Tamandua tetradactyla: one gene and its partner. The protein of the gene in region 1 purifies or fractionates together with the protein of each later gene. This does not show direct contact. Links are inferred from orthologs where the notes say so. Each region holds a gene or a part of one and is shown in the gene's direction. Other genes may lie near its edges. The genes, in order: PGM1 and GRHPR.

Region 1 (12,239 bases):
CCACAATTTTAGCTTTTTCCTTCTAACTGCTCTAAGACACTGGAAATATCAATATAACTATTCAGCAATCATACTTATTTGTTAAACCCTACCTTCTCTTTATAACTCTGCCATCACCTTTGATGTTTTCCCCAATCTTTCAGGGTATTTGGACTGTGATCATTCTAATTTTTTCATGTTGGAAAGGGCTGTTGATAATAAGGGATAGGGGGATGGAACTAGCTGGTATTCTGGAGAGGCTGGTCACTCAGCATTTCAGGACTTATCTAGTCCAGGAAATGGAGCTTATAGATTTCTGGAAAGAAATCATAATGCATGGAACCTTTGTAGAATCTCAGAGCCCTAGATGTTCTTTAGGGTTGGCAGGAATAGTTTTGGTTGGGGATTCAAAATAGTTTCTCCCACACCACCAGGGAGACTTTCACCCCTGGGTGTCATGTCCCATATAGGAGGAAGGGTAATTATTTCACTTGCAGAGTTGGGCTTAGAGAGGGAGAAGCCCTATCTGAGCAACCAAAGAGGTCCTCAGGAGGTAACTCTTAGGCATGACTATAGATAGGCTAAGCTTCTCCACTACCTACATAAACTTCCTTAAGAGCAAGTGTCAAGATCAAGGGCTTGGCCTATTGACTTAGGAGTCCCTAATGTTTGTGATAGTATCAGGGGTTGCCCTGGTGGTAAAGATGAACAGGTCTGTATTTTTTTTTTTCCTGTCCCTCAAGGTACTTTGCTAATAGATTTTAATTATCTGCTCAACATACTAGGGGATGTATTAGGGCACTAAAATAAGCTATACAGACTTACAAGCCTTGGTTACCATTCTCGGCTCCATGTGTTTCGGTTGTTTAAATGAGCTATCCAGACAGGTTGAGTTAGGTTATGTGCTACAGAAAAGGTGGGTTTGAGACAAAGTAAACCTCTGTTCCTTTGGTCTCATAGAGTAGTTGAAGTTTTAAAATAAAGACAATGTCCTCCTTTCCCCTGTATTCTGATTTGCTGTAGTCCCAATCTGGACCAAAAGCTTCTTGACAGTTTGAGTTCTCTTTTATCTTTCTGTGGTGCATAGTGCCTAATATATAAAATCAATCAATTTCTATATTGTAAATGTTGGAAAGATGGATAGATGAACGTGTAAAGGGATGGACAACAGACTGAAAGATGCTAAAGAATGTCCATGTTCTGAGGCAGTGTTTTGTTTGTTTTTACTTTAAAATTTGCCTCAGGGGTCCTTTTGAACCTGGGATTTTGTACACCTCTGAGCCATCTAGGTGTACAAATTCTCCTGGTAATTCTTCTGATCTTGTACCCTCTGCATAACTTAATGTGATGTTTTCTTTCCTTTCAAGGGCATTTCCTAACTCAGTTAAAATGTATATGGCTAATGGCTCTCCCAATACAAAGGCACGAAACACACCTTCATATTTTCAGATTCAAGGTAGTAACAAAAACTAACAACTCACATAGGGCACTGTTCCAAGCGCTTTACATTTCTTAACTTACCGTACCCCTTTCGTAACAAACCTATCTGGTAGATGCTATTTTGAATCCCCATTTTACAGTTGAGGAAATGGAGGCATGAAAATGTGAAGTCTCTTGCCCAGGCTTAGGGAGAGGTCGTCTGCCCGTCTCCTCGCTGCGGACCGAGGCTCGGGGGAGAAGAAGAGAGGGGGTTTCTCTCTTCCTCTCACTTGTGTGCCCAGCAAAGAGGGCTTGACCCAGAGCTAGCAGATGGGACCTGGGCATCTCAGGGCCTGGTCAACACAGCGAAGAGGTGCAGGGAACAGAAACCTCAGAGCACCCTGAGCCATCAGGACTGTGTGAGGAAGCCAGAGGGGTGTCTCCAGGAGCCAGAAGCAGGGTGGGCAGCTCAGCCTCCCCACCGCCGGAGATCGGAGCCCCCACCGCGTCCTCGTCTCGCCCCTGCTTGTCCAGCATGTCAGCTACGTTTTTCTCTCCCTCTGCTGACCCATTTGCCTGTGTAAGTTTGTTTTGTTCTGCTTTTGTTGATCTTATTTACAATCTCATTTAATCACGTTCCTATGACTATTCCCAGTTTATAAGTCAAATGTGTTTATTTTCTTTTTAAGTTCTTTAATCTGAGAAGCAAAACTTTCAAAGTATGCAGTTTATTCTCATATAATGTCACGGTCCTGACAGCAGATCCTTGCACAAAGTATGCTTATACCAGCCCCAGGTTTTTGAGACTTCTGTGTGTTACCTCATTCAGTCATTACAAAGACAAATGGTAGGGGGACTGCTGTTATCTTCATTTTTCCAGATGAGGATTAAAAAGTTAGATAATTTGCCAGGCATCACACAGCTAGCGGCTGGGAGAGCTGTGGTTCAGATCCCCTAAGTCTGACCTTAGGTCCCATCACTGAACCATTCTGCTGTTCTGTCTGGATCTAATGAGTTAAACTTATAAATATGTGCATTCCAAGCTTTATTAAATGTTCAATTAATATTTATAATTTTTACCAAATTCCTTAACCCCCTTTAACTTAAAATCGCAAGTCTAAATAGGTTATTCAATTACATATTTTAAATTGGGATCATAAGGCTTATCTGCTAGATAACCTAATACCCCAAACCCTCTTAAAGTAGTTAAAATGCCAAATATTCATAGCTTTTTCCCAAACTTTCTGCAAGAGTATTAATACTCTACTTTTGATTCATTTACTGTCTCTACACTGTGATTATGGTTTACATCATCATATCTACTTAGTTTTAAACCTTCTTTAAGCCCACTAAAAAAGGTTCTCTCACCCCAAGCAATTAGGAGTTACCTTTCCGGTTGAATTGGGCGTGACTTTGTCAGCTGGCTGAGGTGCGTGTCCACCTGAGATCTGGTGTGGAGTGACCCCAGTCTGTCAGGGAGACGTGAGTGACTTTCTCTCCTAGCCCCTGTTCCTAATTCTCACGTCTGATAAATCTGCAGCCTCCACCCACTTGCAGGGTTTCATCTAGCCTATTTTTGCTTGATTTTATTCTGAACTCTTTCCAATTCCTCCCTTCCATGAGGGCCACAAGTCTTGGATGTGTCTGAACCACACAGGGTTGGACCCTGCTTGACTCTTATATGTACTGATGCATCATCCAGCTGTCAGTCACAGTTCTACAGCTGTTCTCATGACTCAGCTGTCCTTGCCCACTGCTCCTGAGATTATGTGTCTTCCTGGTCCCAGCACTAACAGAGTCTAACTTGTATATTCCCCAATCTTAAGAGAGAAAATATGATTGGCCCAGTTTTCTCAGGTGTCCACTCCTCGTGCTCATGGCCTGGAAGTAGGGTCCTATAGCAGAAACATGGCCCAGGAGTCCACTCTTTTGGGATGGGTTGGGAAGAGAAGAGGGGGGGTGAGTGGCAAGACACTATGTGGAGAAGGAATTGGAGGGAAGGAAAAGAAGTCTTCAATGTTGGAGTTCAACAAAACCCAACAACAAGGCTCAAATTGGCCCAAGGAATCTAAATTGAGGTTGTATGTAGGAAGCTGACACACTCCACGCTGGAAGATTGACCAGGCTGCTCAGAGCCCTCTCAGCTGAGGAAGGAATCTTTTTTGCCAGCCTTAATCTTTTTCCAGTCTCTTCTCCTCTAAGCTATTTGATGCACCCCCAGTGCCACCACTGTTTTCTTGTGATAGGTCCTTTCTGATGATGAGCTTCGTGCGCACAAAATCCCATCCATGTGTTTCCATACCTGACCCATCTATGAATGTAAAAAAAAATGTGTTTGCATCTTTATATCATTCTCTAGTTTACAGTGACTTTCATATACTTCAGAGATGAAGTAATGATGTATTATGTGCCAGTACAGATGTCTTTATATAGGTCATCTGTTTTAACCTTGAGAGTTAGCCCCATGATGCAGGCTCATCCTGGTTAAGTAACTCACTCATGAGGTTCAGTCTCACGCATTTTAGAGTCAAAGGTCTGAGCTCAGGAGTGTCTGGCTCGTAAACCTTTGGTCTTTCCATCTCACTCATTGCCTCGCCGGTGGGTGGCATTTACCATATGCTTTGTTACTGGTGGTTGGAGAAATAAATGACTGTTTCCTGGCTTGTACTTCTCACCTTTAGGACAAACATCCCAAATGCTCAGGGGCAGGCACCTGCAGCCATTAGCAGCTGCGAGGTGGAGGTCCGGTGATCCCTGATGTTCTTAGCAGAATTAGAAGCTTTCTTTCTAGTGCCTGTGCCTAGACCCAGAGTTAGCAGTTCCATCCCCTCTTCCCATGCCTATGGCATTTGTGCGAAGAGGTGAACCTGCTGCGGCCGTGGGTCCATCCTCACCTGGTGCCTGGAATATAGTGATGAACTGTCTGATACATGCTGTTGATTTAAAGAAAGACAGGTAGAATGAACGAAGGGTTGGAAAGTCTGTGATTTCTGCTGTGTTCTGCTAGGAAGGACCATTTCTGATCAGAATGGGAGCTGGAAACTTTGAGAGGCTGAGAGTGAAGGGGTTCATCACTCTGCCACTGTGAAATTGATGGGACCTAAGACCAGTATGAAAGTTCCTTGTCTGAAGGGAGTAATCCTTAAATTCCCCATATGGTTTAAATGCAATTTGTGTCATTGTGAAGGAGTACTGGCAATGCAGGCAAATTCATTAGGCCAAATTGGGTTCGCTATGCTCGACAGTAACGTTTCTGAAGATGAAGTTCAACCTTTGCTGGAGAGCTAAAACAAATGGGTTTCTTAATAGCTGCCCCACTTAGTCTGTGCGTCTTAGGAAGCTTAATGTATTTAATGCCTCTTCTTTTTCACCACACTTCACACTCCATCTAACATTGCTGCTTCTGGTAATATTTTCATATGGGGTTGAGTTCTATAGTGTCTATAAAATTATGACTCCGGTCCATTTTTAGAATAGAAGCTTTTCTAGGGCAAGGATTTTGTGTTTTTGGTTTAGTGTTGAATATGACAAACACCATGCCAGTCGCTCAGAATGTTATTCTCCTGTTCTAGCTTCAGAAAAAGCTTCCCTGAGAGATTGACAGGTCACCAGCAGGATGCTGGAGTGTGTTGTGTTGGGTGGGCAGAGATGTTTCGGTTGAGCAGTGGGAGAACCCGCATGAGCAAGTGCCCTGAAATCTACCCTGGGAGTTCAAAGTCTCCTTAAGAGAACTAGCAGTTATGTGGTTGGTTGCTCTGTTATTCCCAATGAAGAGATTACTAGGTTTGTATTACATAAAGCAGAAATCTGTTATCGGCTATGTCAGGACTTATTACTGGCCTAATTTGCAAGCCTGTCTAAAAACAGAAAGCTTGGCACAGAATGTAAAGCATATAAATAAAAAAAAAGCATTTGTAGTGAGTTGAAAAACGGTGGATGTATAAACTACTGTAAATACAGGAAGCTCATTTTGTAATTTAATTTTTAAAGAATCTTAGTTTGAAATACCAAATAAGAGCCCAAAATAAACTGCAATAACTCATTGCTTTATGGCTTATTATTGGTTTTCAACTTGATAGACCTGCCTTGTGAATTCTTTCAGTGTCACTGCTTGAGGTAGTCCCTGCATCAGGGCTGGCCCTGTGTGTCATCTGAAAGGGACCACACCCTAGCTGGTGGCTTGTTTTGGGCTCATAGCTCCTTTTGTTCTGCTGGTCTGTGTAGAGCAGCCCCCAGAACACAGGGACATTCTTGCCTCAGAGAGGGCAGTTATCTGCTTACAGTGCCTATTTACTTTTGACCCTTGCTTCCAAGTTGGTAGAAAAATGCTGGGATTTTTTTTTTTTTTCTGAAATGGTTACTCACATTTCCCAAGAAAACCTTGACTCAGTGCATATCAAGCTCCCAAAACATGTGTGCAACTAGTTTTGGTTAATTTTTTAAGCATTCTTTGAACATTCATTAAACCTTGACAATGGAGCTTCTTAATTGGCAGCTTCTGCTGAACTGGGTAAAACACACATGTATGTATTTAAGCAGATTATTAGTAAAATCTCATGGATCTAATGGGAAAGGATATTAAGTTCATTCAGGTAGATATTTTCAAACATTTTAGGTTCTTCAAATGCAAAGGACTTAAACTCCCTCACTAAAAAAATTTCTTAAAAGCCAAGTCTATTTAAGACTTAAAACATTTAAAAAACAAAATTTAATCTGGGTGCACGGGTGGTTCAGTGGTAGGATGCTTGCCTTCCATGTGGGAGACCCAGGTTCAGTTCCTGGACCATGCACCCCTCCCCCCCAAAATAACCTTATGCTCATACTATTTTTCTAAATAATAGATTGATCAAACCTCATGCACTCATAAAAAAAGATGTATTTTTTCCCAGTTCTGCTCACATTTTCAGTGATTTGATGCATCCTTCCTTATCCCTTCTTTCTAGAAGTTTAAGAAACAGAGGACTGTTGGTCACTCCGAATATATTTGTGGATCTCCATTCTTCTAGAACTAAATAATATTTTGTTAAATCGGTTTTGTTAGATGAATGTTTTCTTCTAACTGATGTTGCACGTGGGAAGGAAAAATGCCTTGGGTATCAAAATGATGGGGGTGTAAGGAAACAAGAGGTAACTGAGCTCCCACACTTCCATTTTAAGATTGACCTTTTAAATTGCTGGATGGCATGGGACAACTTTAGCTGCAGATGGCCTTCGCAGTGATGAATGCACAGAGGCTCTGGTTTTAAGGGGTGGCAGAAGCAGTGAGAGCCATACCAGGTGTCTTGTTTACAAACCTGCTTCTCAGAACTGCATCCGCTCTGACTTTGCCTGGACCCAGGAAGTGGGGTCTGGCAGACGTCTGGTTTTGTAACTTAAGTCTGCTGTGCGATCGCCCTTTGGAGCCATCTCCACCCTAACAGAGGAATGAGGCAAAAATAATTGCAGGCATTTGGCTTGGTTACGTGGGCAGCAGTGTCCTCATCAAAACAACTTGGGGACTCTCCTTTGTACACGCGTGTGGGTAGGTGTGTGGCCATTAATGTTTCCATGTGGGCAGCAGCAGGGAATTAAACACGCTTCCTCATTGAGTGACCATCTAGACGAGCTCTCTGTTTTGGTTACTCGAGTGACACTGTCGCCGCTTCAGGTTTGAGGACTTGGACAGCTCTCTGGACACCTTCCCTGAGCCAAGTGGTGGAAATGAAAGATGAGTGATTTTGATGGATGGATTTCTGGGAAATACAGAAAAATGGAAGAAGGTCCTCTCCCACTGTTGACTTTTGCTACAGCACCCTACCTTGATCAGAAGCCAGGAACTAGCGGATTACGGAAGAAAACCTTTTATTTTGAGGCAAAACCATGCTACCTGGAGAATTTCATCCAGAGTATATTCTTTTCTATAGACCTAAAAGATCGCCAGGAGTCATCGCTGGTGGTTGGTGGAGATGGGCGGTATTTTAATAAATCAGCAATAGAAACAATAGTGCAGATGGCTGCTGCCAATGGGGTGGGTATACCACATTTCCGCCTTTCCGAATCTCTTAATTTTGCAGAGATACACAGAAGTACAAGGTTTGTATGCAGTGAACTTACATAGATCTTAATTCTACTGATGGGCAGTTAAGTTTCATTGCAATTAAAAAAAATTGTAGATCGTGAATACACGCGGTGGTTACTTTAGCAGATATAGAAATGTAAGTTCAATTTCTTCTGGGTTGTGCTCTGTTCTTGTTGCTTGAAAAAGTACCTGTTGCTTTTTAGACATTTAAAACACAGCCCCAGCCTTAAGCTGTCTTATCTACGTCCTAACTAGCTTTTAGGGGCAGCGGGTCCTCTGTAAGAGGGGCTCTAATGAGGGTGGAGAGAGGAGGATTTTATTTTCTTTCAATGGCTTCCTTGTTGAAGTTCAGTCACTTGTCAAACAGGAAAACAAAACCCAGAGCATGCTGTTGTTTATGGATCCTGGTAGTCGTGCAGAAATGCTAGGAGGGGATTGGAAAATGTTAGGTGTGAGCCTTCCAAGAGGACCTGTTATGGGGGACCTCCTTATAATGACCCGGGGCACAAAGAAACCCTATGTGCGGTGAATTTGTGCAGCAGGGTAGAGATAATAACTCCTGTAAAACTATAATATAAGCAGGCTCTGCTAGAGCTCTGCATCATGGAAAAAAAAAAAAGCGGGTTAACTGGATTAACCAAATGAGAAGGAATATTGTACCAGAAAGCATTGATCTTAATAATCTTAACAGTTTGCATAGCCCCATCGATTTACAGGAAGGCAGGCATCAGAACATTGCTGATTTTGCTCTGAAAGTTCTTCTGTGGGACCAAAAAAAATATTTTAAGCATTTGGAATAATGCTTAGACCTTCAATACCTGTAAATTAGAAACAGAATGTATTTCCTTTCTGGAGGAGATTCTGGTTCCGAGGACATAAATTTAGCATTGCAATTAAATGTATTGGGCATTCATTTTCAATCTATTTTAATAATGTTACAAGCAAGTGTGATTGCAAAAGCCAAATTAAAGACAAAAAACAAAATGCTCTACCAAACCAGGTTTAAGTGTTTGTAGAGCCTGTTGTTTATAATGCGAGCTTTCTTTTGATACTCAGTTTCAGAATCTGAATGCCCCTCATGTAAAAATTGCTGATAAAGCACTCAAATATGAAATTATTATGAAGCATACATATTTTTAAGATAAAATGTGACATGCCATAAATTTCATCTTTGAGGAGAGCTGCAGAGGGAATGGTATTAAGATGCTTTTAATCTTTCGAGAAGGAACGAATGGAACATTATTTCTCTGCATATATCTAGACTGGTGAATGGATCTGGTACACTGTCCCCTTTGCTGTGATATATTTGGCTTCATTTCATTTTTGTGTGGAGCTGAAGGATGGGGAAAAGGTGGTGAGAATGTGTAATTTGGGCAGATCCTATAGACTTTCTCAGATTTACAGTCTGAAGGTTTGTTAAATAATACATTGAAGTGATAATAATTGACTAAATATGGTAACTGCCTATTTGTCAGAATTGCGGCAGCCCAAGCAATATTTTCAAGTCTTTTCAAGGGCATTGCTTATTGCATTTAAAGCAGTCTGCCACCCAACTGACTTCAAATATTTAGTGGACCGATGAAGTACCTTAGCCTGATAAAACCTAACAAATCCGAAGTGGTTTGATTTCTTCTTTTTCTAATTTATCCTAAGTTCTGACTGTTTTACCATCCCTTGTTGGTTGTATACCTGTCACATCTTGAAGACAGGATATCAGGGAGGACATTTAAAGGAAGGATAAATATTGCTGCAGATTTTGTTAGAATTCAGCGTTCTTTCCTCACTTTTGCCAGTACCCATTCCATGCAGGAGAAGATTCTTGAAGGATTTTTTAGCCTAGTGAGCTAAGTGGAGATCTTTTTTTTCCTCTCTCTCTCTTTAGTATATCTTTATCTGGTGCATTTGTGGAATATAGAATATAATCTGCTTTCATTAGGAATTTTTTTTTGTTCTCATTTGTGTAAAACTGTTTGCATTTACAGGAAATTTTCATGTACAAAATAAGACATTGATGGGTCCCCACTTAGAATATTAATATTGCATTCAGCCCCTGGAGCTGTTAGACATAAGTTTAGAAATGGGAGTAGAATCCATGAGTATGACCAGCAGGACAAAGAAAATGGAACTTAGCTTTTATGGGACAAACATAACACAGCAGACCCTATTTCCAAGTAAAAGGGAAATTTACAGGTTTTTTCCTTGCCGTGTTTGGATATGAAGGGTTGGGGGGACAGTGAGGTATCTAGTCTGGTAGGGTGACGTGGAGGGAGGAAAGGCTGCAGGGGCTGTATGATGAGGGGCTGTGGTGCCAGACTGATGGAATTATCTCTGATTTGGTAAGTAAGCTCTTGGGAGCCAGGGAGAGTTGTGGAGTAGATGAAGGACTACTGTGGTAGTCCGCCATAGAACTGTGGTTTGGGAAGGTGTGAACTAGGTGTACTTGAGCAGGTGGATGGGTTAGAAGGAGGAAAGCGTGGGTGGGAGATTGAATCAAGAACTGTCACGGTGATTCAGGCATCTTTAAGGGAGTGAGGGTAAAAAAGTAACATCTCCCCAGATAATTGGGTTGAAGAGGACTATTCTTTTTTTTTTAATTAAAGAAAAAAAAGAAATTAACACAACATTTAGAAATCATTCCATAAGATAACTATTCTTAAGGAAAGAGTTTGCTCTGCAGGAGAAGTACAGATGTACCTCTTCTTGAGCTTAGGAGAGAGAAGCGACCATGGACTTCTGTTACTTCTGTTACTTCAACTTTCCTTCTTCACATAACATAGAAAAAGGGTTTCCTTCATAGAAACCCTTTTTCTATGTTATAAACCCCTCAGTCTGGGACCATTATGGACTGCAGCTGTCATCATAAAGAATGGAAGAATTAAGGGATAACTTGGGTGGAGGCATAGCTTAAAATTCATTAGTCTCCCCTTCTGCACCAAATACATACAAAATCTAGGTAGAAGTCCATGTGCTTGATGTGCAAATGCAACTTCCAGATAATTCTACCAGCCTCTCTAGCTGATTAAATTGTCTCCTGCCATGTTCTAGAAATTCTGAACATGTAAACCCAACCACAGGCTTTTATTTACACCTGGAAATTCCCGGAAGGGTGAGATGTCACCATTCCAACTGCATTTGCAGTATCAGGAAGTTTCAATGCTTTTCCCCACGATGGCCACTAATTTGCCATGTGACCTTGTCCTGTCATCTATCCCAGTATCTGGCACAGCACTTTCCCATAAATGCTTATTGCTGCTATTGGATGAATGAAAGAATGAATGAATGGGAGGGATCATGACAATTCTGGACATCAGTTTCCTCATCCATACAATGGAGCTTGGAAGTTCTTGCAAGTGCAAGAATGGATCCAAAGTGCTAGGGGATGTAGAAGGAACTCTGCAGCACAATAATAATCATTAGGATTGATTTCCTGTGCTCTACAGGTTCCTGCAGTCTGTAAAAGAGGCTAACAATAGCACCTACCCTGGCCATTACCATTACTGGGGAAGTGTAGAACAGGGAAAAAATATATTAGTGCAGCTACAACAAAAATTGTCCAGAATTCAGTATATGGGGAGCCAGGTGATGACTGAAGTGAACTAAATGCCTCCTGGCAGGTGGTTGGCAGTGAGAATTTAAATTATGACTTATGTTTTCCATGGCCCATAGGAGATGGCAAAGGTCAGAGTCCCAGAGAAGCTTTCCCAGGTAATACAGGTATCTCCGTTGTATTTTCAACATTTAAAACCTGTCTTCCGCCATCAACTCACTTCTTCAACCTTATTTATCTTGGGTGGAACAAAAACAAAATAACATGAGAAATTTGAAAACATTCCTATCCCTTTCTTCTCTCAAAAGGAGACGGGAGAGCAGGTACAGCCTCTGAATTTCATATATCCTTTTATAGCAGTCCCATCTTCAAGTATGTCAGAGGAACTGACAGAATTTCTTCCTTCTCCAAAATGGGTCATGTTGAAATGTTTATAAATTATTGCCATTTTAGCAAAGGAAGGGTTAGGAGCTGTGCTGGTGCGGTCTGTAAGAGAAATGGGAAGGTGAGTTAAGAATGCAACAAAAGTATCACCTGTATCACGTCCATGTAGGTGGTTCTAACTGGCTTCCTCAGTAATGACTCACAGCATTCCATGCCCACGAGGTAATCCAGGTACACTTAATATGTCCTACTTGGAAGAAACCCACTATATGGAAAAGCCCTGCTGTGACTGTCGTATATTTTCTTGCCAGAGCCTTATCCCACCACCAGAGCTCATGGTCCTAAAACTACAAAGAGCTGTCTGAAGGAATGCCTTTGTTTAGCAATTTGCTTCTTCTTCAGCGATATGGTGGAGACCATCCAAGCTGTACATATTCACAGAAGAAAATATTTCCTGGTCCAGGAGAGCTTTTCTTTGTCCATCTGCCGGCCTCGTCAGTGCTTCTGGGCGGTCCCTTGTGTCTGCTGATGTTAAGTTGTGTCTTCTGGGTTTCTTCTCCTAGATTGGTCGCTTGGTCATTGGGCAGAATGGGATCCTCTCCACCCCTGCTGTGTCCTGCATCATTAGAAAGATCAAAGCAATTGGTGGGATCATCTTGACAGCCAGCCACAACCCAGGAGGGCCCAGTGGAGACTTTGGGATCAAATTCAATATTTCCAATGGAGGTGAGTCTGCTTGTCATTTTGAGGATGGTCAGTTTTGCATTCGGTAGGGTAAACCGATAACTGAGACCTTGGGAGTCCAGAATTCTGGATCCCAGCAAGGGCGTTCTTCACCTTCTTTTGGTGAAA
Region 2 (12,236 bases), on another chromosome or scaffold:
AGGCTATAATAATTTAAACAGTGTGATGTTAACACAAATGACTAGATAGATAGTTCAACAGAACAGAAATAAAGTTTACAAATTGACCCAAATTCAGTATATAATACTGGTAAGATATCAAATCAATGGGAAAAAGATAGATTATTTAATAATAGTGGTTGGAACAACTTGGTAGCTATCTGAAAAAAAGTCTGCATCAAAATTTCAAAAGTAAAAAAATTAAACCATGAAAGGACCAGATAGAGAAAGCAAGAGATACATTAAAAAGAAAAAAATAAATAAACCCAATGTGAAAAGGGCCTTTCCATGTGAGGCAGTTTGGAAACGTGGCCCCGTCAGTTCTTGGACGGTTCTCCCAGCGAGAGGGGGTCTGTGCCTCCTGGCCTTGAACCTGGGCTCTGTGACTGCTGGACCAGTAGAGTACGGCAGAGGTGATGCAGTGTCAGTTTCCAAGCTCAGGCCTTGCACTACTGAAACAAATTCTTTCTGTCTCTTGGGAGGTCGGTGCTCACAACCCAGGCCCTGGGGGGGCGGCAGGGCTGGTGCAGGTGGTGGGGCCAATAGCCCCCGCTGAGGCGGGTAGCTGCCAGGCCTATGAGTGAGAAAGATTTTGAGATGACTCCAGCTCCAGCAACCTTCTGGCCAGCAGCTACCCAAAAAAGCCTGAGCGAGAACCATTTAGCTGAGCCCAGTTGATCCCAGAACCAGAAGAGATAATAGTAAAATGATTGTTGCTGCTTTAAGCCACTAAGTTTCAGGATAATTAGTTACACAGCAGTAAATAACTGATGCGCTATGTGTAACAAAACCCAGAAGCCATAGAAATAAAAAAGTTTCTGCCTTAAAAAAATTAATAAAATCCTAAGAGAAACATCAAACTGGGGAAAATGCCATATTTGTGACATATCACAAAAGGCTAGTTTCCTTATTATATAAAGGGTCTTTACAAATCAGTAAAACAAAGATGCTCAACCCAACTTAATGGCAAAGGATATTAATAGACAGTTCACAGAAAACATATGAAAAGTTTTATTATTGTAAATAAAAATTACAGTAAAATACCATTTAAAAATAATATACTGTAATGATAGTGACTAAATGTACAAATTTAAAAAACATTTTTGCATGAGGAAGAACAAAGGAATGTCATTACTGCAGGGTGTTGAAAATAGATGGTAATTAATATTTTAAAATCTCACCTTATGTGCGAGACTAAAGCAAAACATGTTTGTTTGGTACAAAATTTATATTTTGACTAGTGCATTTCCTAATATAACTTATGTAGATAGTTTGATTGAACACGTTAAGTACTTGGAATCTCAGGTAGGACATGAGATTTTGTTGGTTTGTCCAGAGTGATGCCCCGAAAAATCCCAGAGTGATGTGAACAGTGAATAAAAAAGTATTTGCAAAGTCCCCTTTGGGGAATGGTGAGAAAGGGGGAAAATTCAACTTCCCCAAGTTGAATTCTTGATATTCTCATAAGCAGTGTGACAACCAAAGCTATAGGCTGAGCCCCCAATCTTGGGGTTTGTTCATATGAAATTTAACCCCACAAAGGATAGGTCAAGCCTACTTAAAATTAGGCCTAAGAGTCACCCCCAGAGAACCTCTCTTGTTGCTCAGATGTGGCCTCTCTCTCCAGCCAATACAACAAGCAAACTTACCATCCTCCCTCTGTCTACGTGGGACATGACTCCCACGGGTGTGCTTTAAGCCACTAAGTTTCAGGATAATTAGTTACACAGCAGTAAATAACTGATGCGCTATGTGTAACAAAACCCAGAAGCTTCCTGGGAAAGTGGGACAGAAATCCTAGAATGAGCTGAGACTCAGCATCAAGGATTGAGAAAACTTTCTCCACCAAAAGGGGGATGAGTGAAATGAAACAAAATAAAGTGTCAATGGCTGAGGGGTTCCAAACAGAGTCGAGAGGTTATCCTGGAGGTTATTCTTACGCACTAAATAAATATCACCTTGTTATCCAAGATGTAATGGAGAGGCTGGAGGGAACTGCCTGTAGTACTGTGTTCCAGTAGCCATGTCTTTTGAAGTTAATTGTGTAATGATAGCTTTCACAGTGTGACTGTGTGATTGTGAAAACCTTGTGTCTGATGCTCCTTTCATCTACCTTATCAACAGATGAGTAGAACATATGGGATAAAAATAAATAATAGGGGGAACAAATGTTAAAATAAATTTAGAGTGAAATGCTAGTGATCAATGAAAGGGAGGGGTAAGGGGTATGGCATGTATGAATTTTTTTCTTTTGTCTTTTTATTTCTTTTTCTGAACTGATGCAAATGTTCTAAGAAATGATCATGATGATGAATATGCACCTATGTGATGATATTGTGAATTCTTGATTATATATGTAGAACGGAATGATCATCAGTTAAGACGTTTGTTTGTTTGTTGCTATATATATATTTTTTAATTATATGCTGAAAAAAATAATCTGCTGGGAAATAGGTGCTTTCCTACATTGCTAGTAGGAGTGTAAATTAAACAATGTCTATAAAAAGCAATTTGACAGGATCTATGAAAATTTATAGTATAGTGCATGCGCTGGTTTGAAAGGAAGTATGCCCCCTAAGAAAAGCCATGTTCTAATATAAATCCCATTTCTTAAAGTTAGAATAATCCCTATTCAATACTGTATATTTGAAACTGTAATGAGATCATCTCCCTGGTTGATGTGATTTAGTTAAGAATGGTTGTTAAACTGGATTAGGGAATGACATGTCTCCACCCATTTGAGTGGGTCTTGATTAGTTTCTGAAGTCCTATAAAAGAGGAAACATTTTGGAGAATGAGAGATTCAGAGAGATTCAGAGAGAGCAACACTACAAAGCAGAGAGTCCACCAGCCAGCAACCTTTGGAGATGAAGAAGGAAGACACCTCCCGGGGAGCTTAATGAAATAGGAAGCCAGGAGAGAAAGCTAGCAGATGACGCCGTGTTCGCCATGTGCCCTTCCAGCTGAGAGAGAAGACCTGACTGTGTTCGCCATGTGCCTTCTCGCTTGAGAGAGAAGCCCTGAACTTCATCAGCCTTCTTGAACCAAGGTATCTTTCCCTAGATGCCTTTGATTGGACATTTCTTTAGACTTGTTTTAATTGGGACATTTTCTCGGCCTTAGAACTGTAAACTGGCAACTCATTAAATTCCCCTTTTTAAAAGCCACTCCGTTTCTGGTATATTGCATTCCAGCAGCTAGCAAACTAGAACAGTGCACATTTTTTTTTGCACGTATTTTTTGACTTAGCAATTCTGCTTCTAGGACTCTGACTTACAGATTTCTTACACATGTGCAAAGTGACATATGCTTTGCTCTTCATTGTGGCATTGTGATAAAAGATGGGGAACAACCTAAAGGTCATTCAATAAGGGACTGTAACTAATTTATGGTACATCCTGTTCCTAGTAAGATGCTCTGCATCATTAAAAAGGCAGCTCTGGGCAGGCCACAGTGGCTCAGTGGCTCAGCGGGCAGACTTCTCGCCCGCCATGCCGGAGACGCAGGTTTGATTCCCCGTGCCTGCCCGTGCAAAAAATAGCAGCTCTATGTACACTGATATGGAATGAGCTCCAAGATATACTCTTTCATGACACAAAGTGTATGTGCTACCATTTGTGCTAAAAAATGCATATTCTTTTTTTGCTTCAGGTGAAACTCACAGAGCAGATAAAAAATTGATTTCAAGGTGTACAATTCAGTGGCATTTAGTACATTTACAGTGTTGTGTAAGCACCGCCCCCCTGCCCCGTACCCAGCCCCACCCCCACCCCGTCCCTAGCCCCCAGCCCCTGGCAACTACTAATCTGCTTTTGGTCTCCATGGATTTGCCTTTTCCAGATATTTCATATAAAAAGAAGCATACAATATATGACCTTTCATGTCTGTCTTCTTTCACATAGTATGTTTTCAAGATTCATCCAAGTTGTAGCACATTTCAGAATTCCATTCCTTTTTATGGCCAAGTAATACTCCATAGTACTGATATGTCACACTGTTTTTGCAGTTGTCTGTGGATGGATATCTGGGTTGTTTCCTCCTTTTGGCTCTCATGAATAAATAATACCAGGAATAAAGAGCAACAACAAGTTCCTATGTGGACATATATAGTCATTTCTCCCTAGATATACACATACCTAGGAGTGAAACTGCTGGGTGGAATGGTAATTCAATTAACTTTCTGAGGAGTTGCCAAAACTGTTTTGCATATTCTTAATTAGCATGGCACATCTCTGGAAAGATACACAAGAAACAGGTGACAGTGTTTGCCTCTGGGGAAATCACCCGATAGCACACACCCTGCAGGGTGCCAAGAGGTTTAAATGAGTGGGTCACCATGGACGGTGCTTAGGGCAGTATCTGGAACTTTCTAAGAGTCCATAAATACCAGCTATGTATTATGATGTATGATGATGATCCACCCCTCTCCAGTTCTCGAATCCTTCCTCTCCTTACCCCTTCACCAGGCTGCCCAGGTTTTGCCCAATCCCTCTTCTGGGGTCCTCAGCAGGACCCACATTCTGGCTCCAGGTCCACCACCCCGCAGCTCTTACCGAGTGCTCTGTCTTTGGGGAGAGGCCCCACTAACATGTCACGCCCCCCCGTCCCCGGTGGACAGGCTTGCCCAGTGCCTTCCCCTGTCCTGGTGTGGGGGAGGTCAGTGGGGCTCTGTTGTCACTACCCATTAACAGAGGGCTGAGCCACTGGGTCACGCTTTCCCTGGAGGGCCTGGTGTGGGGACAGAGAACACCTCTTTATGTCAATGTTTGACATATTCAGAAAATTTCACTGGGATGGCCTAGCAGTGCAGATAACTGTTTGTGTTACTCAAGAGTGGGAGGTGGCAGGGTGGAGTGCCAGACAGTGGGTGCCGGCTCTCACCTCTCCAATGACATGCTGGGTGGCACCAAGTTGGTGACGTCACCTCCCGTGTGTCTGTTTCCTTATCTGGGCCCAGAGAGGGTAGAAAGGATTCAGTTAAAATAAGTGGAGAAGAGGGTAGAGGAGAAACCACCCTTTGGGTACTCTCAGGCCTGAGAACAGATAACCCAGCAGGCTTCAGAGATGAAGCCAGCAGGCCTGAGGTTTTCCCACTTGTCCAGAGTCTGGCTTCAGCATTTGTATCCTTGACCAACTGCTGGCCCCAGAGCACCAGGGGTTTGGTTTCCTTAGATGCGTTAATATTTGTCAAGCATCCACCATGGCACTTGTTAGGGGGCGTTGTCATAGCACAATACACAGGTGCATACATTTCAGACTCTCAACAACCCCATGAAGCAGGCACTATTATTATTCCCGTTTTACAAATGAGGAAACTGAGGCTCACAGAAGTTTAATAACGTGTCGTTAGCAAGGCCGGGATGTCTGCCCAGGAGGTCTGGCTCCAGAGCCCAGGCTCCTAACCTCTCCCCTCCATGGCCTCAGGACATGTTGCCCACCTACAAGGCCCAGAGCCTGTGCAGATGTTGTCTCATCTGATCATGACGATAACCCTCAAAGGTAAGTGTTACTGCCTCATTTGGGAGCTGAAGAAAAGGAGGCTTAGGAAGATGGCATGACCTGACCAAGGGCACACAGCTTGTAAGTGGCAGAGCCAGGGTTCAGAGCCAGGTGCCTCTGACTGCAAACATTGGGTCTGACCATGTCCCCACATGTCCCCAACCAGCCCTGTTGTTTGCAGCCAGGTGCCTCTGACTGCAAACATTGGGTCTGACCATGTCCCCACATGACCCCAACATGGCCCTCTGCAGGACCTGCCCCTGGCCACTCAGCAAATTTCCAGCAAGCCTGGGTAGCCTGCACCCATTAACCCCCCGCCCCCCAACTACTGAGGGCTTCACATGGAAATTGCACAAAGTACTAATGAGCCATTCCCAGATTCCAAAGCCCCAGGTACAGCCTGTTGTCTGTGAACTTCAATCCTGGCTCAGAGCCCAATCTGTGTGAGCAGAGGCCCCTGCCTGGAACAGCGTGACCAAGATGGGACAGACCTAGCGTGGATGGTCAGGGCACTCAGGCCCTGGGAGTGGTGTTGGCCCCAGAACACACTCACCCTCTGAGAGCTGTAGCCACGCTGACATGTCATATCCACACATACCTAAACACATTCACACACACTCTCCTCTGGGTGCCCTTTACCTACCCCAACCCCCAAGACATGCCTTTGCCAGTCCCCAAGCCTCTGAGGCAGTGGGCATTTGGAGGGAGAACCTAGGGTCAAGGCACACCCATAGCCGCATCACCCCCAGGACTAGTCTCAGTTCCTTTAGGGGCTGATGGCAAATGCTCAGAACCCCACCCTAACACCCCAGACGAAGACACATTGTCACAGTCACTCCCTGAACACGCACAGTCACCACACTTCCACAGTCCCACAGGCCCCCACTCGGGCCGACCTGTGCCCCCTTCCCCTCCCTCCAAGGCTTTCACCTCTAGTCCCGGCCCCGCCCCTTCGAGGCCCCGCCCATACTTCCGGTTCCCTTCCCTCTGGCCCCGTCCCGGTCAGTGTGCCCCGGCTGCAGGTTGGATGAGGCCATCGCGAGTCATGAAGGTGTTTGTCACCCGCAGGATTCCCCCCGAGGGAAGGGCCGCGCTCGCCCAGGCTGCAGAGTAAGAAAAGCCCCGCGCCCCGCGCCATCCCGCGCGCCGAGTCCGGGGCCGGGCGCACGGGGTGGGGGTTAGTGCCGGGGCGGGGGCGGGGCCCGGGGCAGCTCTGCGGAGACGACCCTAGCCGTGCCCTCCCCAGATCGCAGGACCCCTGTGCACAGGGTGACTTAGCGATCTCCAGGCGCCCTTTGGGGACGCCCGGAGTTGCAGGCGGCAGGCTGAGGGCGGCCTCCAGAGCGGGGAGGGTAACGAGGTGATCCCAGCGGCCCGGGACAGCTCGGGCCCAGGCCTTGGCCGGACTTTTTAGCCTGTGCTTGGCGGGAATGGACTTGGAGTTCTTGTAAGGCTTAGAGAAAGTTGTCTGAGGCCCAGCAATCTCCAGGACCTGTGCAGTGCCACTGGGACGCCCCCATCTCCGCTGGTACTAGAGCCCTTTGCGGTCATTGACCTGGGAAGACGGGAGACCGCCCATGATGCAAGGTCCAGCTTGTTAGTTCTTTACACGGCCAAGGTTGCCTGATGACAGGCAGGCAGGGGTCAGGGACCTTGGCAGTCACTTGAACTGTTTTCGGAGGCCTTTGGTGATCCCTTAAGAAGTGAATTTTTTTGTGTGTGCCAGCCTTGGCAGGGGCTTCATGTACATAGACTCATTTAGTGCTTGCAACACTGTGAAGTGGGCATTATAATTCCCATTTCACAGATAATTGAGGCTGGGAGAGATTAAGTACCTTGCTTGAAGTCACACAGCTCCCAAGTGGTAGAGCTGGGATTTGAACTCAGGTCTGACTGCAGTCTGACCACTTTATCAAACCAGAGTTCCACTGCCAGTGGCAGGCAGGAAGAAGGTGGGACCCAGCCTTGGAAACCAGTTCCAGGGGAAAATGAGATTTGTTTTTTATTTCATTCAGTGTGATAAAACCTTTGCTGTACTAAGGGCTCATTGGGGTGGGCATGGGAGAAAGCAGAAAAAAATAGTCATAATATCAGTAGCTCAAACCTGCTTTAGCTCTGTGTGCCACTTTCATGTAAAAGTGGATGAGAGGTGGCCTGTACCTGGGGCTCAGTCAGCAAGATGAGAGCTGCAGCTGTAGATTGCTTGCACAGGTAAACGCTCCATACAGCTTGGCTGGCCTGAATTTTAAGGTAAAAGCCAAGAGACTGGATTGCACAACTGGGAAATGTATACTTTCCAGACGCTGTCATGGAAGTGCACCCTTTTGTCGTCCTTCCTGGCAACATTCAAATATGAGAGTTTTCCATTTCATGGACTCACAGGACAGAAAATGATGCATCTGGTCGTGGAATCCAAGCCCCGCTGATGGCAGAACCTCTTTGATGGCCTTCCCAACAATTGGCTGCCTCTTTGGACGTCCCATACCAGGGAGCTCACTAACCATGAGGCCTCCTGTTAGTGATAGGAAGCTCTTCCTTGTGTTGAGCTAAGAGCTGTCCATGTGATTTCTCTCTTTCAGTTTAGGCTCTTCAGGCCTTCCTGCCCCCTCCTCTGCTCTGTGACAGCCCTTCACCTTTCACCTGCCCTCTCAGGACAGTTCTGAGGTTCCCACCACCCATGCTGACCTCTGACTCCTCTCAGCCAGCCGCAGGCCACCCAAGGCCAGAACTAGCAGAAGGCGGTGTTTCCTAGCTCTGAGAGAGGGGCTGGGAATGTGGTTGTGGGACTTCGGGACCAGGAGCATCTGAGGGGCTCCCCTGCCTCTGAGTGGTCTTTCCTTTTGCCTTCAGCTGTGAGGTGGAGCAGTGGGATTTGGATGAGCCCATCCCTGACAAGGAGCTAGAACGAGGTGTGGCTGGGGCCCACGGCCTGCTTTGCCTTCTCACTGACCGTGTAGACAAGAGGCTCCTGGATGCTGCAGGTATGTGCATGGGCAGGTCTGGGGTGGATTCAGAAGGCATGCTGGCCCTGTAAGCACGTGGCCTGCTGCTGCTGGCTCCCTGATCAGGCTTTCAGCAACCTGTCTGGTTCTGAGGGCATTTGCTGCAATACCAGGCCAGAGGGAGCCATTGTTGGCAGCTCCATCTGGCATGAACATTGCCTTCATCTCCTGGCTGTGAATCCCTGGAGGAAGGCCCTACGAGGGCAGATACCTTGGTCTGGAGGCAGCGGCATGCAAGGGAGAGCACCCAAGTTCCCATGCCTCATCCAGTCCTGCCATGGCTTGCTCTGTGATCTGGAACAAGGCCCTTTTTCCTTTGGTCCCATCTGCAGCACGAAAGAGGGCCCAGTTCAGTGTAGGCAGGAACCTTAGGGTAGAGTAAACTGTGGTCCTGGCAATTTTGAGGAAAGGTTCAGAATCAGAGGCTGCTGGCTGGGTAGGGAGGGTCCCTGTGAGTTGGTGCTGGCCTTGACCTGGGAGCTTTCTGGCACCTTTCCCAGAGGAGTGAGGGGTCACAGCTGCTATCTCGGTGCTTTCCCAGTATTCATGGGAGAGGCCCCGGGCTGTGGCCAAAGGAGACTCTGGGCAGACAGTCCAGTGGGTAAGAGTGGGTGCCTTGGTGTTATAGGCCTGGGGGCGGGGGGGGGGGGGGGACCCCTGGCTCTGCCACTTGGCAGCGTGTGACTGGGGCAGGCTACCTGACCTCTCTGAGTTCAGTGTCTGTATAAATTGGGATTGTCAGAGTTTTAAATGAGACATTAGCCTTTACTCTTACTGTAAGAAAATGATAATAAGCAGGGTCCCCATAATAGAGGAGAATCTGGAATTCCACAAGCAAATGTACAAATGGTGCTTTTCCTACATGGCAGGAGCCAATCTCAAAGTCATCAGCACGTTGTCCGTGGGTGTCGACCACTTGGCTTTGGATGAAATCAAGAAGCGGTAAGTGCGGCTTGGGTTTTGGAAGGGAGCCTGGAGTGAGGGTGGCCAGCAGAGAAGGGGGAAGAGGGGCTGAGGTTTTGTTTTTGTCACTTCATACCCCTGTATAACCAAAGTACCACATGGAAAGCTCCCAGCAGTAAAAATCAATGAAGATGCTTGTGGCTGGTGTTACCATCAGATCTCTACTTTGTAGTGGGATCCGTGTGGGTTACACCCCAGATGTCCTGACAGATGCCACCGCCGAGCTCGCTGTCTCCCTGCTACTCACTACTGGTCGCCGGTTGCCGGAGGCCATCACAGAAGTGAAGAAGTGAGTGAGGGCCGGGTGAGAAGGTTGGCTTTGCTCGGCAATTGGTTCCTGAGCACCCAGGGTTCCTGAATGGACATGATCCGTGACTGCAGACAATCCCTGACCAGTGGCCAAAATCCTAAAGCGTAGCCAGAACTGACATAAACCGGGTGTGGAGGGAAATGGTGAGATAAGAGGATAAGGAAGAGCGTGGTTGGGAGTGGGATGCATGGATCAGGAAGGGCTTCACGGAAGAAGTAGCATTTAAGCATCTTCCTGCGGGCTTAAGAGGTCTGTACCCCACAAAGAAGCTCTGAAAACGGGTGGCCGCGGTGGCTCAGTGGCAGAGTTCTCGCCTGCCATGCCAGAGACCCGGGTTCAGTTCCCAGTGCTGTTCATGTTAAAAAAAAAATAGAAAAAAAGAAAAGCTCTGAAAACTGAAGTTGTTTCATAAATCTTCTGGTAGCAAAACCTGGCAGGAACTGACATGAGACTACTTGTGATCTTTATTTTTTCTACTCTATGTGAATATTCATGTTTTGCTGCAGAAATGCTGATGTGTTTGATACAAGGTGGTTTACCAAGGGTATGATGTAGAACACAACACGTGCATCACACTACCTTTGTAAAATCCGAAACATTTCAGATAAAGGAATGGGGTCTGTGTATTGAAAGTGGGAGAAGGCATTCCAGGTGTAGGGAATGGCTTGAGCAGATTGGAAGGCTTGAACTGAGGTGGGAGGTAGGCAAATGCAGTCCCTCAGAGAACAGGGATGCGGAGCCTGGCTCCGGGGCGGATATATAGTGGGAACAGAGACTGGACACAGCATGGGGCTGGTGAGAGACAGTGCAAATGTCTCACTGACCCTCCTCTCGCAAGACTTGTCACTTTCATTGGAGGTGGTTCAAGCCAAGCTCTGTTCTCCTATCCCCCTCAGGGCAAGAGGAGTTGGGCCTTGTGACTTTATTTTTCATTGCTGCCTTAGAGGCCCTGAGAGCACTGGTTCTGGAGTCCCAGATCCTGAGTTTGTTACCTGCCATTCCCCAACCTGCAAAATGGGATGGGGACCTCCAAGGCCCCTCCCAGCCCACTAATTCTGTAGCCTGGATAGCCTTAAAAGAGGAATCATCCCCCCTGCTCATTCACAGTGCTGAGTGGCTGTAAGTATAACTCAGCCCTCTCGGTAGTTGGACCTGGAGAGCAGGGTCCATACCTTAGACCACGGGCTCTGACCAGGGACACTGGGCCTCTCCCCCAACCCTCCCTTTTCCGTAGCGGTGGCTGGACCTCATGGAAGCCCCTGTGGATGTGTGGCTACGGACTCACGCAGAGCACAGTTGGCATCATTGGGCTGGGGCGCATAGGTGAGTCTCTCTACCTGCTTGCCTGCCCCTGGGTTTGAATCCCCGGCACCACATGTCTGGATGCTAAAAATCCTTCTTTGTTATATGATCATGGTATCAGGGCATTTTGCTCACAGTAGGGGAATCTCTAATGAGAAGCCATAGCTTCATGAAACACAGGCAAAAAAAAAAAAAAAAAAATCAGGAGCTCCTTTAGAACTCACAAGGTGTTAAAAGCAAGGTATAAGAGACCAGGTTCTTTATGATTACAGCCCCGTAAAGAACAAATGAAAGCTGTTGGGCCTTTAGGAACAGCTTACTGAGGCAGAGCCCAGACTTCCTTAGACTTGGATTCTGGAAGGTATTTGACCCATGGAGCCTTAATTCAGGGACCACAGAGCCCATGGGCAGAGTTTACCTGCAGTTCTGGGGAGGAGGTTGAGCTATTTTTCTTCCAGTGGACCCTTTTGGGAGAAGCCTGGCAGAAGGGCTTGACCTCACCCAGGCAGCTGTCAGTGACTCTCAGGCATCCTGTCTGGTATAGCGGTGGGGGTGAGGGGTACAGGGTATGGATAACTTACCTGGCCAGCAGCCCTGCTTCACAGTAGAGAGTTAACTGGACGAACCCAACAGTTTTGGGGCAAGTACTGAATCTGAAAATCCAACTGCCCAAGCTTGGTCTTGCAAGTTTTGGATGAGTTGCTGATTTGGTAATGCCACCAAAAAGTCAAGTGGGGTTTGGAGCTGCATTAACAGAAGCAGAAGGTCAGAAGGAGGGAGGGGACTGCTGGGTCAGACTTCTCCTTGAATGCTGTTCTAGTTCTTTGGAAGGTTAGCAAATCCTCCTTTAGATGGCTGGGACCATGGGACGACAGTATAAGTGGGCTAGGAGCTCATTACACCGAGGCAGCCTCCAGCTCTGCATACAATAGGACCAGTTAATGCCCGACTACACTGATGAATGGGTCTCCCTGTCCCTGGAGTTGCTGGGTGCTGTCTCCTGCCCCCTGATGTGTTGGAAGCAAGCCGTGGACTGCTACTCCTTGTGTCCAGGCCAAGCCATTGCACGGCGTCTGAAACCATTCGGCGTCCGGAGATTTCTGTACACAGGGCGCCAACCCAGACCTCAGGAAGCTGCGGAA

Evidence for each region.
Region 2: the proteins of PGM1 (region 1) and GRHPR fractionate together in Homo sapiens (co-fractionation; 3 studies listed by BioGRID). This does not show direct contact. The link is inferred for Tamandua tetradactyla from reciprocal best matches to the Homo sapiens genes PGM1 and GRHPR.

What each region holds. Positions count from the first base shown.
Region 1 is NC_135337.1:62,484,134-62,496,372, reverse strand, and holds the start of PGM1 (phosphoglucomutase-1), read left to right. Parts: upstream 1-7,048; 5' UTR 7,049-7,105; coding exon 7,106-7,405; intron 7,406-11,950; coding exon 11,951-12,113; intron 12,114-12,239. UniProt on the Homo sapiens protein: Catalyzes the reversible isomerization of alpha-D-glucose 1-phosphate to alpha-D-glucose 6-phosphate. The mechanism proceeds via the intermediate compound alpha-D-glucose 1,6-bisphosphate.
Region 2 is NC_135328.1:57,768,110-57,780,345, reverse strand, and holds the start of GRHPR (glyoxylate reductase/hydroxypyruvate reductase), read left to right. Parts: upstream 1-6,487; 5' UTR 6,488-6,544; coding exon 6,545-6,627; intron 6,628-8,367; coding exon 8,368-8,498; intron 8,499-9,388; coding exon 9,389-9,461; intron 9,462-9,654; coding exon 9,655-9,771; intron 9,772-11,026; coding exon 11,027-11,115; intron 11,116-12,147; coding exon 12,148-12,236. UniProt on the Homo sapiens protein: Enzyme with hydroxy-pyruvate reductase, glyoxylate reductase and D-glycerate dehydrogenase enzymatic activities. Reduces hydroxypyruvate to D-glycerate, glyoxylate to glycolate, oxidizes D-glycerate to hydroxypyruvate.